Oreochromis niloticus: one gene and its partner. The protein of the gene in region 1 interacts with the protein of each later gene in a pairwise test. Links are inferred from orthologs where the notes say so. Each region holds a gene or a part of one and is shown on either strand. Other genes may lie near its edges.

Evidence for each region.
Region 2: the proteins of hsd17b14 (region 1) and ca8 interact in binary tests that used the Homo sapiens proteins (3 or more experiments, as listed by UniProt). The two-hybrid records come from large-scale screens. The link is inferred for Oreochromis niloticus from reciprocal best matches to the Homo sapiens genes HSD17B14 and CA8.

Annotation. Positions count from the first base shown.
Region 1 is NC_031969.2:29,967,379-29,974,774, reverse strand, and holds the start of hsd17b14 (L-fucose dehydrogenase), read right to left. Parts: upstream 3,019-7,396; 5' UTR 2,703-3,018; coding exon 2,621-2,702; intron 2,528-2,620; coding exon 2,489-2,527; intron 2,363-2,488; coding exon 2,265-2,362; intron 2,113-2,264; coding exon 2,046-2,112; intron 1,942-2,045; coding exon 1,850-1,941; intron 1,447-1,849; coding exon 1,342-1,446; intron 1,262-1,341; coding exon 1,194-1,261; intron 600-1,193; coding exon 503-599; intron 1-502. UniProt on the Homo sapiens protein: Catalyzes the NAD(+)-dependent oxidation of L-fucose, yielding L-fucono-1,5-lactone, which rapidly converts spontaneously to L-fucone-1,4-lactone. Can also act on D-arabinose and L-galactose, with lower catalytic efficiency. Does not use NADPH.
Region 2 is NC_031982.2:2,298,009-2,305,642, reverse strand, and holds the start of ca8 (carbonic anhydrase-related protein), read right to left. Parts: upstream 3,003-7,634; 5' UTR 2,746-3,002; coding exon 2,673-2,745; intron 1-2,672. UniProt on the Homo sapiens protein: Does not have a carbonic anhydrase catalytic activity.

The DNA.
Region 1 (7,396 bases):
CCAATTACCACTGGCTCCTTCCTGGGGACTAAATCTAGCACTTTATCTAGCTTCCTCCATCTCTTCTAACTGACATCCAACCTACACGGCGTTCACACTGACAACATTCAACATTACCTCTACGATTTCCAGCTTCAAACTCATTAACCTGTCTGACACTGGCTCTGAAAAATATCCGCCTCCTTCTCTCCTTCATATCAGCTAGCTCCTCACATGTAAGTCCCTATCTCTGACCGCCACACTCCTGCCTTTCCTTCTCTCACGCCACCTCCTAACACACCTTCCCCCTCTCCCCTTCCATTGTTTTGAGCCAATAGTAGCACACTTTCCACCAGCAGCCTGCTGACCAACAACGCCAGAGGCATTCGCTGCCCTGATCCAATGTGATGATGGCACGGTTCATTTTTCATAACTTTTCATGAATGACTTTGCATAACTCAGCTCCTCACTACTAACCAGCACCCATAATCTACATGGCTTCTGAACGCCTTCCTGAACGTACCTGAGCATTTTCCCCCATTTTAATGGTAGCGGCAGTGTCTGGTGTCTGTGCTGCTAGTTCCTCCCACAGAGGTGTTATCACGTTACCTGGTGAAATGCTGCAACAAAAGCCAGACACTCTGATCAGACAAAGAAATGCATAATTATTAAAATAAAGGAAATGAAATACTTGTAGAATCTCTACACATTCAGTTTTTATTTCACACCTGAATTCTTTTTATTTATCAGAATCACATTTTTTATTTCACTGTAGTTCTGTCTTTTACCTCCAGTTAATGCTTAATTATAGTTGTTTGTTATCTTAGTAATCAATTAATTTAATTTCTTTCCTTATATCCAAAATTATTTAGTATTCATTTTAGCCTTGTAACCAGCACACTCGCACATATCTCCTTATATAAAGAAATAAATGTGTAACATCGGCTGCTCCACAGCCACAAGGACACTCAGGATTGTGAGGACTGGATTTGACTCTTGAAGCCGTAGTTCAGTTCGGCAATCAATGATGCATTCATTAATTGCATCATTAATTGCATGATGCAATTCATGAATTGGGGGCGGGGGAGCCTGTGACTCAACACATTTTTATATCTTATTCTTGTGATTAAAGTGAAATCCAATTAATTAATCTGGAAATTAAAAATATATTTTCTCCCTAGAAAACTTTTTTTTCAGATGCCAGTTTGCCTCACCAGTTGACTCTCACATTGTAGCGGCTCTCATCCACTGCCATTGCCTTTGTCATGGAAATGATCGCCCCCTTGTGGAGAAGACATCACATTACAGTACTCTTCTATTGGGCAGGGGGCTGAAATTTAGGAAATGAGGAAAGAAGCTCACCTTTGTGGCAACATACGGTGCAGCATCTTTCTGACCGATAGTTCCCACAAGACTGGAAATATTGATGATGTTTCCTTGGCGCTCTCGTAGGTACGGTAACACATACTGCAGAGAGAGCGAGACTTTCAGGTGGTGCAAAGATCCTCTATACATAATGTTTCGATTACTCCAAGAGCTCAAACAGAAATGAAAGGTATGACGGGTTTATGGGTTATTAGTTAGTCAGACTGGCGTTGGCTAAAATCAATCAGTCAATGCAAGAACCTGGAAATCCTGGAATCCTGATATCAAAGGAGGTAGATTCCATGTTAAGGATATGATCGTGTACTTTTAAGACCACTGAAAACATTTTTTTCCTGTATTGTTTCCCCGCTTGTCTTTTCATAATAAAGTTATTTGTTATTTATTTCATTCATCAGTGTTTAAATGTATCACTTTAATCTTTATGTCCTGTCTTTGTTTCCACAGAAGACAGAATATACTTGCACGCAAAGCTGTGAAAATTTACTTTAGACGCCAAAAAGTAGCTGACGAGGTTCAGATTCAACAAGTCTCTGAACTCCTCCGCTGTGGTGTCATCGGTGGGTTTATGAGGAGGGTCTGAAGAGGAAGATTTCACACAAAGAAGGAAAGTAAGCAGGACGGCCATGACGTCATATCTGCTTGGAGGTGAAAAACAGACAAAAAATGCATGTGTGACTCACGCCAGCCTGCGTTGTTGACCAGGCAGTCGATGTGACCAAACTGCTCCACTGTGACTGCAATCAGTCTCTGCACAGACAAGAGAAACCAACAAATGACAAGCACACATCAGCAGTGGCTGCCCGAGTCACTCTCTGAGCTCATGTGATCATCATGTGATCATCATGTGATCATGTGACTCTGTCCATTTCAGACCTTACACCCACAAAGCTGTACTTCACCTTTATGTCTTCTTCCTTGGAGATGTCACTTTTGACAAACTTGCACGAGCCTGGTCCGGTCTTGTTAAGCTCCGTCTCTAAAGCTTCACCTGCTGCACCTACGAGACACGTCTGATCATGCCGCAAAAACTTGCACTCCATTATTTTTCTTTTCATATATGCTGGCAAAAGTGAATTCGTGTAACTGTTTTAAAAAGCAGCAGAATAAAAACAGCCTTACTAACTTTCTCTTGCACAAAACGCCACTTTGGCTCCGTTTTCCACTATAAAAGAAAAAAAAAAGTCGCAGAAATGTTCAGTGCGCCACTCCTCGCTGCATGCGCAAACTGCCAGCATAAATAAAGACATTTTCATACCAAACACTCTGACAATCCCTCTGCCAATCCCTTTGGATCCTCCCGTGACAACAGCCACTTTGTTGTGGTAGCGGAGGGACATTTTGTCTGCGATTACGATGATAAATGTGACGCAAAGCGGCGCTGCTGTCAAACAGCGGACTAATAACGGTTAGTTCTTACTTTCTCTGCTCGGAGTTATTACAGCAGGACTCCTCTGTGTCTTCGCCGCCAGCAGAAACGATCAGCCGCTGTCAGCATGTTTGTAAAGTTCAAAGTACCACAAAATCATGCGGTTTGCTTTGCTGCATTCAGGAGCATAGGGGATAGTAGGAAATCCATACATTCACAAGAAAACTAGCTCTAGAGAGGGTTCTTGAACTTTTATAATAATATCCTTTTTACTTCAACTGTGTCTGGACATCTGTGCTTGGGTGCCAATAACTTAGCCGCCCTAAGCTGATGTCAGCTTCCTTAGAAATCATCACTCTGGACACAGGGGCGGATCTAGAAGGGTGGCATGGGGTGGCAAGTGCCACCCTAAAATGATCCTTTGCCACCCCAGTTTTGCATATGACAGTGTTGTTTATTAAAATAAGATAGCATTAACAGTTTGAGCGTAGTTACAGTCAACAGTGAATAAAACTGAATATATTGCATAGTGTTCCTCCCCTCTACCATTAACAAATGGTTCAGCCCACAGCAGGACCAGCTTTTTTCTTGTTATCAGTAGCAAGCGATGTTTATGATTGTGCCAGAGCACATTTTGAACAACACCACGGGAATTTCGGATTTTACACAGGTGGTTGGATGTTACACTATGGAAATGGAAGGAAGATGAGTGTTATTAACCCTCTGTGGTCCACGGACACGCTGCACCTCCAAATCACATGACTATGTTAAGCTGACATAGCAACAAGCTGCAGCCACGCTGAGTCTCTGTTTCAGCCCACATTGAAAGTTCGGACTTCAAAGTTTTTAAATTTTAATTACAGGCCAGTAAATCCAGAGTTATGATAATATATATAATCCATGCTTTTTTCTAAATACTGTCGTCACGTTTTTTATGTGTGCTGTGTGTATTTTAAGTGTTTTCTAAGGAAAGCGCGAAAACAGTAAAGAAAGGAAAAGAAGCCTATCGGTGGAAAAATGTACCATGTCAACCAATTTTTAAAAAAGTCAACACGTGGGATTTGGTTGTTTAGGGAGAGGGGAGAGTTTTTAGAGTGACGGTAACGGCAGCGAGACAGAGCGAGCGAGTGAGAGAGTTTTTAGATGTGGGAGATTTGTGACGTTTAGTGTGGAGTGTACAGTTAGTGTGTTGTGTTGTCTTGTGTAGCTGTTCTGTTGTGCAGTCGTTTTGTTGTGTGTGTCAGTGAGGGCACTAATGAATGTCACAAAGGCACATTTGCAATGTAAACACTGTCACTAAGTAGAAAACCAGCGGAGTGATACACCTGCTGTTGTCAGGCCTGCAGGTTTATCCCTGTGCTGTTCTCATCTGTCTTTTGGTGGACAAACTTTTTTTTTACTGGCACACATCATTTGTGGGGCATCTTATTGCAACACCTGATTGTTCTCTCATTTTAGTTTTAGTATATTTTTAAATGGTTGTACAAAATGAAAGCAACGGCAGGTGTATTGGCTGCATTTTTAGATAAATAGTTGGATATGTTTACAAAATGTACAATTTATATTTGCATTTCAAGTTATAAAAATTTACTCAACATGTCTGTGGTTTTTTTTTTTCAGTAAAAAAATACTACTAGGATTTTAAGTTCTTTGTGTGATTTCAGATCAGTAATACTAATGCAGTATGTCAGTGAAAAAAACAACTAAATTCAGTTGAGCTGAAAAGAATGATCCCAAACAAGGCAAGGGGGAAAAATAAAATGAAACAATCTGAGGGTGAAATACAAACGTAAACTCAAAAGGAGTCAAAAATGCCCGGTTGTATTTCAGACCTCAGTGGGTTAATCCAACAAATCATGAAAAATTAGGTTTAAATTTTTGTTCATGACAGTGCAGATTTCTGACATTTTGTGTAATTTAAGCTGTAACAATGTGATTGTTTTCTAACAAAAAACAGTGTGAAACTTAAGTTAGACTTGTGTTTGTAAATGAACCGCCCCATGTTGTGCAACTTTCTGGATTTTATACTTGTTGGGCTACATATTTATTTATTATACAGGCTATACAGTACATAATATCAAAACTCACATGTTTTATGTAACTAAAGTGTGTAATTATGTGGGCTACAGACAATAATTAAGTTATAGACTATATTTATATGAAAAACGTGTATACTTACTGCATTTGAATCATTTTAACCATATGTAACCACCTGCATATGTGTTTGGGGAAAAAAAGGCTTTGATTTTGCCACCCCATTTGATTTCTTTGCCACCCTCATGCCACTCTAAAAAAAATTTCTCTAGATCCGCCCCAGACTGGACATGATTAGTTTCGTTCTGTGAAAGGAAGTTCTTCCTACTCCCCATTATCAAGCACTTGCACGAATGGGATCGTCTGATTGTTGGGGATCTCTCTCCAATACTGTAGTGTCTTTACCTGACAGTATGAAGCACCTGCTTCCCACTAAACTTGCTGATGCTATGTTTCTAGCAGTTATAAAGCACTTAAAGATCAAGGAGATCTGGCCTTTTGTTAAAAGTATTCATTTTTGTATACTTAATCTTAAACGTAATTATTTCATTTCTTCATTTTCATGCCTCACTGGTCAACATATTCGTGTAAAAGGGTGCTGGGTCGATTGGAGGTAAAAATCAGAGACACTAAACCTTTGAAGTTGGCTCAGGAAGGGCATGTGACTTAAAACATGTGGATAAGGTAGAAGCTGAAATGAACTTTAATCTAATTTCCTCATTTTACATGGCAAAACATTTTGTGTTTAAAAATAAAAATTTGGAAATCCTTAAACTTCCTGATTTTTTTCAGGGATTCAGATTTTTGGACATCAGCCTGTATTATTATTATTATTATTATTATTATTATTATTAATAATAATAATAATAATAATTTTAAGGAACATTGTGCTTTATTAACTTAAAGGTTAAACTAATATTTGAGGTCATAAACTCACCAACTCACAAATTATTTTTAAATTGGGCTTCTTTCTGCAACCTGTGGCGTCAGCCCCCTGCTGGCCATTACAAAGAATACAGTTTAAGGCACACTGCTTCACATTTGCTTCACTTTTCAGACCTGGAAGCTACATCTATTTTTTTTTATACAGAGCATAGCTTGCATGCTACCATACCACTCACTATGCCAGTAAAGGATTCAGCACATCTCACACAGTTTAATAAAGTGAGCCAAAAATACCAGGATCTCCAAGTGCCTTCAGCTGCAGCTTGCAGTAAACAAGCCAGCAGGTTTTCCCACACATTCCGACCTACAGTCCTCTGCAACAGCTACTCTTATTCAAAGTATCAAAATTGGATTTGGAGATTTGGAATGCAAAGAGCAAACTTTACAAACCCTTTGTGAAAATAAACACTTAAGAGCTGTAAATTACTTGAAGTATTTGAAGGCAACAGTAAGAAAAGTCTTCCTGCACACAGACCCAGAGACTCAGAGATGTTTTGGTGTATAATTTAAGATGTGTCTAAAATAACCACAGAAATCAAGTTTTATATTTAACATAAAGTGAGTAATGGTGTGGTCACATTTCATGACAGATTTATCACTGCTCTGATCCAATTTGTGGATAATTCTGCACAAACCACAGTAACCTGCAAGTTTTAATTTATATCTAAGATGCAACAGCAAAAGAGGGAAAAAACATAAATACCAACCAAATGTTTGTGGTATGATTCTAGAGTGTAAATCATGTTCATGGTGCAAACACTGCTCCCTTATTTTATTTTTTATTCTCCTTTTTAAACTTTCTAGTTCAGGTACAGATCAGGCTACAAGTGTATGTAAGAATGCACAGCATGTTTAAGACAGACTTAGGGTTGTAAGAGGTTGACATTTTTGAGTGAGGAGGCTTGTTGGGGTCAGAAAAAGTGGGCGAATAGGCAGCGTGCTCTTGGAAAAGGAGCAAATCCAAGATTGAATTTCCGCCTAACAGCATTCCCCATGCTGAGAGCGAGAGGCAGCGCAAGGGTGCAAGCGCAGACAGTGAGTGACCTATAAACAAGCTTAACAATTTTAACTTTACCCACGGTGGCAGATTAACACCACAGCAGCCCCTGAAGAAGCACACTACTCCCTCTATCTCCTCCCCTCACCTCCTAAATGTGACTCAAGGGAGAATTAGGAGGGGTTGCCTGGATGGTGTGATGATGGGTCGGCCCAGAAGGCACATGGAGGTGAAGGAACAGCAGGAGGGTCATGGTCACTCGCCTGGGGTTTGAAGCACTAGCCTGAAGCATTAGCTGCCGGGCAGGCAGGTGAAAGGAGGAGCTGAACTAAGGTGGGTTTACAGTAACTGCATGTCTTGGAATTTGTGCATGCAGTATGAAATCAAATCTAAACAAAGACACTGTATAGCATGTTTTAAGACAAGTGGAGCTGACAGCAGTTTCTCTGATGGTCTATGGAGACGGAGAAAATCACCTTAAAATCCATTTTGATTGAACCAAAAAGTCCAGTGTGTGAATGTGAGAGTGAATGAATAGAGGAATTGTAAAGCGCTTTGAGGGTCTCGAAAAGCGCTATATAAATGTAATCCATTAAGTCAGTTCAGGGAAGGGTGTACAGGTGTAACATTTTCTGGTGTGTTACAATAAAGTGTAACAGTAAAAAAAATATAAAAATTGAATAGATTTG
Region 2 (7,634 bases), on another chromosome or scaffold:
TGTTTGATTAGTATTAGTTATTTATTAGAGTTTGTTGCTCTCTATATATGTATATATATACACACACATATATATATAGGTGGTGAGCACTGCTAAACTTTAAATTAAAGTTTGTATAAATAGTAGTTGTGGTTTAAATTGGGGTTTGGCGCCACAAAATCAAAGTCAAATAATATTCCCTGAAGTGATATAAACAGAGCTGGGTGTGTGCATGAGAGGAAAAGAGTGGTTTCAGAAGAACGTGTGGGGGACACGAGACTGGCTAAAACTGGTCTTCAGTCCCTCTTCCTCTTTGCCTTGTCCTCATTCTGATCCTGAGTTTCTTTCTGCTTCCTCTCAGTGTCTAGTAAACAGGATTTCTTGCAGTGAGTGTGACAATGAGATTACTGTTCATAAAAGCATAATTAAGCAGACTGCAGTTGTAAAAACAGGGCAAGTCTGCCCTAAATGAGACAGGTCACCTGTCAACAGCACAACACTGAAATATTTTGTAAGATAGTAATGCCTTTGTTTAATAGAGTGTGAAGAGCAAAAAGTGTAGAGAAAGTGATACCACTGAAAGACAGAATTTGCTTCACTTTCAGCTGACTGCAACAGTAAGAGATGTGTATAATGTGCACAACCTGCTGTGTTTTTAGAAAGAGGAAACACACACTGGCAGTATGGTGTTCATGGAAAGTCCAGTACACCCATCTGCCTCCAAGAAAAGGAGCTCAGGCCTCACAGTGTGCCTTTCTGTTGGGACTGCAGACAGACGGCCCTCACTGGCTGACTATTCACACCGTAGCAAAGAGGCAAGGGGGAGCAGTCACATTCTCGCTTTCCTCAGCAACTAAAGCCTTAACAACAGTTTACTAAAGGCAGTGAGAATTTCAGTGGCACTACTAGATTGCGGATTGTTGCTTTAATGACCTCAAATTAAGAACTTAGCTTTGTGAGTAATTGTGTTTTTTTATTTCAGTCACTGAAAAAATTTGGGGGTTGTAAGCTTATTTCTTCTCTTGTTAACTTTAGTGTTAGATGATATCATTCTTATGTGTAAGCTAATCAAGAAATGACTGTGCCTGATTGTTAGCCACAGAGGCATTAGAGACCTGTTGGTGGCCATCTGATAGTGCACCTTCAATGGCTGTTGGAGGTTCTGGCAGTCTCTGTGAAATCAACTGATCAACTCGCACAGAGACCTCAAAACCAGTCAGTCAGTGACCTTGTAATTCACTGGTTGCAGCAGAAAAATGTGCTTTCTTTACCTGGTTGTGGGTGGTTGCTGGAAGTCGCTGGCTGTTTTTATCAAGAAAGTGTTTGCAAGCAGATGTAAAGTGGTACACCAAAACCCTTCTTTGAGAAACCCCCTTTACTTTACTTGCTAGCAGGCTGCCACCTTTGCAGCAGTTTATATGGAAGATGCTGAAATTTCTGTAAACACTTGCAAATTACTCACCAACTGTTAGTGAAACTAAGAGTGACAAAAATGAGAAATTGAGAACATTTGCAGTCAGAGTAAAAGTTAGGGTTAGGGTTAGCCCTAACCCTAGCCCTAACCCAATTTATACTGCACTTGTTCCACATTTGACTAAAGCTTGTGGCATAAATGACAACTCTTTGTAGAAAAGTCTGTGTCTTCCATGCAAACTGCAGGTGACCAAAGCTATCACAAGCAGATTCTTGGTGTAGCTGATTTCACCTGGCAATAGCAGCAACGATTTGCGAGCAACATTTTTCCCTGGTGATCAGAGGTTGTCAGGGGGTCAACCAACCTCTAGGTCTATGTGACTGAGACCTTAGCTAAGTCCTAAGAAAGGAAACTTTTGCTTATTAGACAGCAGTAAGCACTGTCAGCTCATGGCAAGGAAGTTCTGTGCTTGTGCTTATAAATTAAGATGAGGAATTTCCTGTGGGAACCTCTCATCTCCTCTTAACCTAACCAGGTATTCGCATGTCAGATATTAGTGTCTTAGACATACATGGTATTCCATATAATTTAGTATACTTACAGTAAGAATTTCACAGTTCAGTGTGACAGTATATCCCTCGATGCTCAGTAAAAGCAGCATTACCAGAAAGACAAAGTGAACACATAACTACATGACATACTGAAAGTATGACAGTAATATTTGTAACCTATGTTCAAGTGCTTATGTGCTTTATTCAGTTTCTCTTTAGACAAAGATATATGAGTATATGAGTGATATATGAGTGACAGCTCTTAATGCCAAGCCATTTTTGAGTTTTATTGTATGATTTGTAGAGTCCAAGGTAATCTTTGCTCTGCTGAAACTCTCTGACCAACAACTGTCTGATGCAAGTCTCCTAGACCTTTAGCAGTGCAGTGATAAATAACTGGTTTGCTGGCAACTTTACTGAAGTGATATTGTTCTTGTGATATTTTTCTATATAACACTGACTGTAAATCATGCCGTTCGAGCAACCTACAACATAGGAGATGAGAGAGTAAAACCATTAGTGGTTTATTAAAAAAATAATGAAGCCGGTGTTCTGACAGATGTTGTACAGTGTATAACCCAAATCCAACTAAAGAATCAAATTGTATTTTTTTAAATGTTTTTAAAAAGTGTAAAGTTTTGGGTTGAGTCCCCCTTGAAACTCCTCCTGATCCTTAGCTTTTCACACATCTCCAGCATCCCTTCACATACTGAGAAATCCCAGCCTACCTTCCTCATAGCCCCAGTCCAGCTCATCTTTCCCTGGGGTATAATCCGACTCCTCATTCACGTTGTCAGCCATGGTGCTTTGCAGTCTACTCCCTGTGGCTAGAAACCAGTCTGTCCTCCCACTAGGCTCCCAGTCACTCTGAAGTCTGCTGGATGGATTCCCAGCTCAGCAACAACTCTGTCTTTTCTTTGATGCAGTTTCTCTTTTCTTCCTTTTTTCTGTCTGTCTCTTCTTATCCCCCTTTCTTACTCTCTCTTGCTCTCGTCCTCCTAAAGAGACAAGCTGATGATGTGTGCAGACTGTTCTGCCTCTCTGAGCAGCTCTTTACTCTGTGTTGCTCCGCCTCTTTTCTCTCGCTACTTTGCTCTACTGTTATCTCTCTCTCTTCCTCTCTCTTTCTCTCTCTCTCTCTCTCTCTTCCTTTCTGTCTCTGCAGGTGTGCTTGCTCACCCTGGCATAAAATGTCACAACAGTGTTTCTTTTTCATCTCCCTGCCCTGTATGCTCCCTCTGTTCAGAGGTGAAAATAAACTGTAAAGCATATCGGCTTTAATTATTTTTTCTTTCTTGATTTATTTGTTATGCTCTTTTAGCCTTTCTGCTGTTTTCAGAACCAAAGTGGTTGTGTGTATGTGTGTGTGCTGGAATGCTGGCAGGAAGGTCATGCTGGTGTTTCTGTTGGAGGCCACAGATCCACCCTTGGGTGAAGGAAACAGCAGTGGTTGAGAAAACATGCAAAAAGCAGCATGAGGGTGAAAGTGAAAGGCCAACTCTACTTCAGACTTGATGGCTTCAAGATGGACAAAGAAAGTGGCTCTCAAACACCCACAGAAGCCTTTGGCTACAACTTCATGGCCTATCACAAATGACTTTGAACACTGAACAGTGGTTTATATTTCACCCTGTTATACATTCTTTAATTACCAGTTGTTGTCATTTGTAAGTTAACTATATATTTTTCAATTTTACTGTATTTTTTGGGAGGTGGAGTCTCAAATGGGACAAATAATTCATAGTATTGACATTTTTTCCTTTGTTCATTCCCTCCTTTCCTAATCCATATCCTCCAGGCTGCTCTCATTAATTACCCTACATTCTTTATCAGGAAACTGTCCTTGGAAACTGTCCTCAGAGCAAGCTAAATGAAGAAGAGCTCCCTTGATGTGCAGGAGCATCAACATTTAAAGAACAGCCAACAGGAGTGTCTTCCCCATCTGAAATTCCCAAAGTTACCAAATCATGGGATTTGCTAGGTTTTCCAAGAGCCAAGAGGAAGTGCAGAAGTCTAATTTGCACTTAAATTGTTAAATTACACAACATATCCTTTTACTTAAGTAACAGAACAGGTTGTTACCCTCTGACTCCCAAAAAACCTTATAGGAGTTCCTGCTGAAATGACATATGAGCGTTCTTAAATTGTAATAGTATCACCCAGGAAGAGCAACTAAATCCCTGTTTGGAGACGGAACGTGTGGTGGTTGTGTAATCAAACACAAGACCTTAAGCTATGAGCTGAGGTTTTTTTTAGGTAGGAACACTGTTGCATACTACTTTGAGTTTTGTTTCCTTTACTTTTTATTAATAATTAAAGCAGTCAGTGGCTGCATGCCTTCCAGTGCCTTGTAAGTTGTAAGATGAAGAACTTGTCTGATATATTCTACTTCAGATGTAAAGAAATTAAGACAAACTGATCAAATGTAGAAATTTCATAGATTATTTGATTACTGAATTCACAGCCACTTTCTTGTGGTGATACTCAAATACAATGAATTTGCTGAGATATTACTCAAAACCAGCAGAATTTAGCCTCTAATTATTCTATTTAATACTGGTATTTCAATCAATCTGATGGACTTAGCTAGTGACACCTATTCACTTCTTTAGTGTATGTTCTTTACCAATGCAGATGTCTTCTCCTGTCCAGAGTGATTTCCTCCTGTTGCTTTCTGCCATCAAACACGTCACATTTAGTCAGATTACCTTGCTCTGTAAGAAACAATTAGTCACTACAGCTCAGCATGTCAATAATGAGTATTTAATTAGCTCTTTGGAAAATTCTTTTCATGCTTTGCATTTACCTGTTTGCTTGCTGCCATCAAGTGGTATTGTGTTATATTTACCCTCACAGTAAAGAAGATAGAGAGCCTTGGATCTTTTTTCTTTTTCTTTTCTCAATTTTGCGAGTGTCATCATAGCTGAATAAAAAAAAAAGCAAATCCTCTGACATATGACAATGTTTGTTTTGTTTTTTTATTAAAATAAGCTAGCATTAACACTTTGAGCCTAGCTAGTTAAAATTCAATATAGATTCAAAAAATTAAAAATGTATTTCTTGTTGTCAGTAGCAACTGATATCTGTGATTGTGCCAGAGCATATTTTGAATCACCATCATGGGCATTTCAGATTTCAACACAGGTGGTTGATTGTTACACTCTGGAAACTGAATGAAGGTGAGCATCATAACCCCATAAATCATAAAAAAAATCACTTCAAATTTTTGGTGAAAAACTTGGTCATGACAGTGCAGATTCCTGACATTTTGTAAGCATGTAACAGTTTGATTATTTCTAACACAAGAATGTGAAACTTAAATTAGAAAAATTGTATTTCCAACTGATCCACCTCATGTTGTGTAGTATTCTGGATTTTATACTTATTGAGCTACATGTTTATTTAATATATAGGCTACACAGTAGCCTATATATAAAATCAAAATGCACATTTTTTATGTAACGGAAATGTTTTATTATTTGGCCTAAAGCCAATAAGAAGGTTACTGACCATGTTTATAGGAAACAGGTGTATACTTACTGCATTTGGTGTATTTTAAGCATATATAATAAATATTACAGAATGTAACACCTGCACATTGATTTTGCCACCCCATGTGATTTCCCTGTCACCCTCACGCCATCCTAGGAATATTTCTCTAGATCCACCCCTGCATGTCAGGACTGATATTGCAAGCTTACTGGCTAGAACTGAAGGTAGGTCCTATGTCATTCCCTATTCTATGTTTCTTTTTGACTCTGACTGGGGGTATAATAATATCTGAAATCAGCACTGCGTTCTATTTAATAAAGCTTAACTTACAATCTTAAGTATAACTGAAGTTACAGATCAAAAAAACTGAAAGGCATTTTCCTTACACTTATCTACAATTAGAGGAGTCGCCCTCTGCTGGCCCTGTGCTAAAAAGAATCCAGGTTTAAGGCACTGCAAAGAGCCACTGCTCTTCTGTGCAGTGAATAATGGCCACAGAGTTTCCTTTCAGGTTTTTACATGGTTGAAAATTTGTTTTCTACAATACAATGATCCATTTAAAGTTCAAGGACTAGGTTACATCACTGCTTTTAAAATGTCCACCTGTAACCGGTTGGTTTAACTCTTGAATACATGCTGTAAACACAGCTGTCTGTTGAGCTTGGAACTTAGATGTGGGCTGGAATCAAAGGCAACATTGTTTTCATTGTGTGTCATTACTTTTTTGTTTAAGTCAAATTTATTTTCTGTGTCTCACTGTGACGACATACAAAATGTCATGAGGGCAAAAGTAACTCGGAACATAAATTGTTACATTTTGGGATTACAAGTAGATATAGACAGGTCTATCCAGAAAATGAATGTCCTAAAACATAACATCAGAATATCATCAGAATAGTGCGCAATTTTGAGAGTCTGCGATTGAAATAAGGCTGGGTCTATTTTGTGGAAAATTGTAGCTTTTTTAATTTATTGAAAGAATAGCTGCCTAAGATGATGCATTTTATTTTCCAGCTGTTCCTTTTAAAAATGTGAAAAAATCACATTTGAATTAAAAAGAGATAACACTTTATTTCAAGATAATGTTAAATCAGAAAAATCCCATTTAAATTGATGTTAAAGCGTTGTAAAACTACTCAAGGAGTAATGGAGAAGTGAATGGTTTTCTTACAAATGGATGTTTTGGGTTTGTTTGGGGTTTTTTTTTTAAACTTACTCACAGATGTCATATTATTTCCAGGCCTTTCGGGCTGGTTTTCTGAACTTGCTGATAATTCTGTCTGCCCAGATTTATGTTGTTTTGCTTTCTTTAGATTTATTTTTTTTATGGTCTAATATTTTGCACTGATTTACTGTAATAACCCCTCCATCCATCACCATGTTCCTAAGACCTGTGTTGTCGAGAGAAACTTTTTCTGGTGGGCCTCCCAAAGCAAAATGGTCTTCAGATTAAGTGTCATTCAAATGAGCACTGAGTGGCCGAGCCTTAGCCCACTGGGCCTGGACCCAGAACAAGACTCATGAGTCCACCCTCCTGTGGAGGCAGAGGGAGCTATAAGGGTCTGGTGCTTTGTAGATCAAGTAAGAGTCAGTGGCTTTGGCAGTCACATCCCCAGCTGCCCAAGTTGACTTCAGGGACATAGAGACAGGTGAGGAGCTTGTTCATCTAGGACGACTCAGAGAGAACACCTGATGAGGATGGATCCTGCATGTGTAACTGGGAGAGAACATGCTGGAGAGATGATGACTCTTACTTGCCTTGGGAAAGCATTGGTCAAAAACATTTCTGCTGGATAACCTAGAGGCTATAGCCAGGTAAGAAGTGGGTCTGAGCATCTTTTCTTAGTCTGCTGCCTCAATGACCCAAACCCAGATAAATGGCAAAAAAAAAAAAAATGGCCCTGGTCCTGAGCAAGATTATACGTGAAAGCCAGGTCAAAGAAATCTGACAGCAGTCTGGCTGGACTCGGCTAATTCCTCACAATCTTCTCAGAACAGCACTGAAGCACTATCACATCCCAGACCACATCAAGGTAATAATCAGCAGTTACCTGAGAGGGTTCAAGCACCGCTTCAAGGCCAAAGACTACCTACAGAAAGAGATCGTCACCATTCCTGTTTGCTATGAGCATTAACTTCATCGTGACGTCACTATCATTGGAGCAGTGGAAAACGTAAGACAACTGGCAATAAGGGGC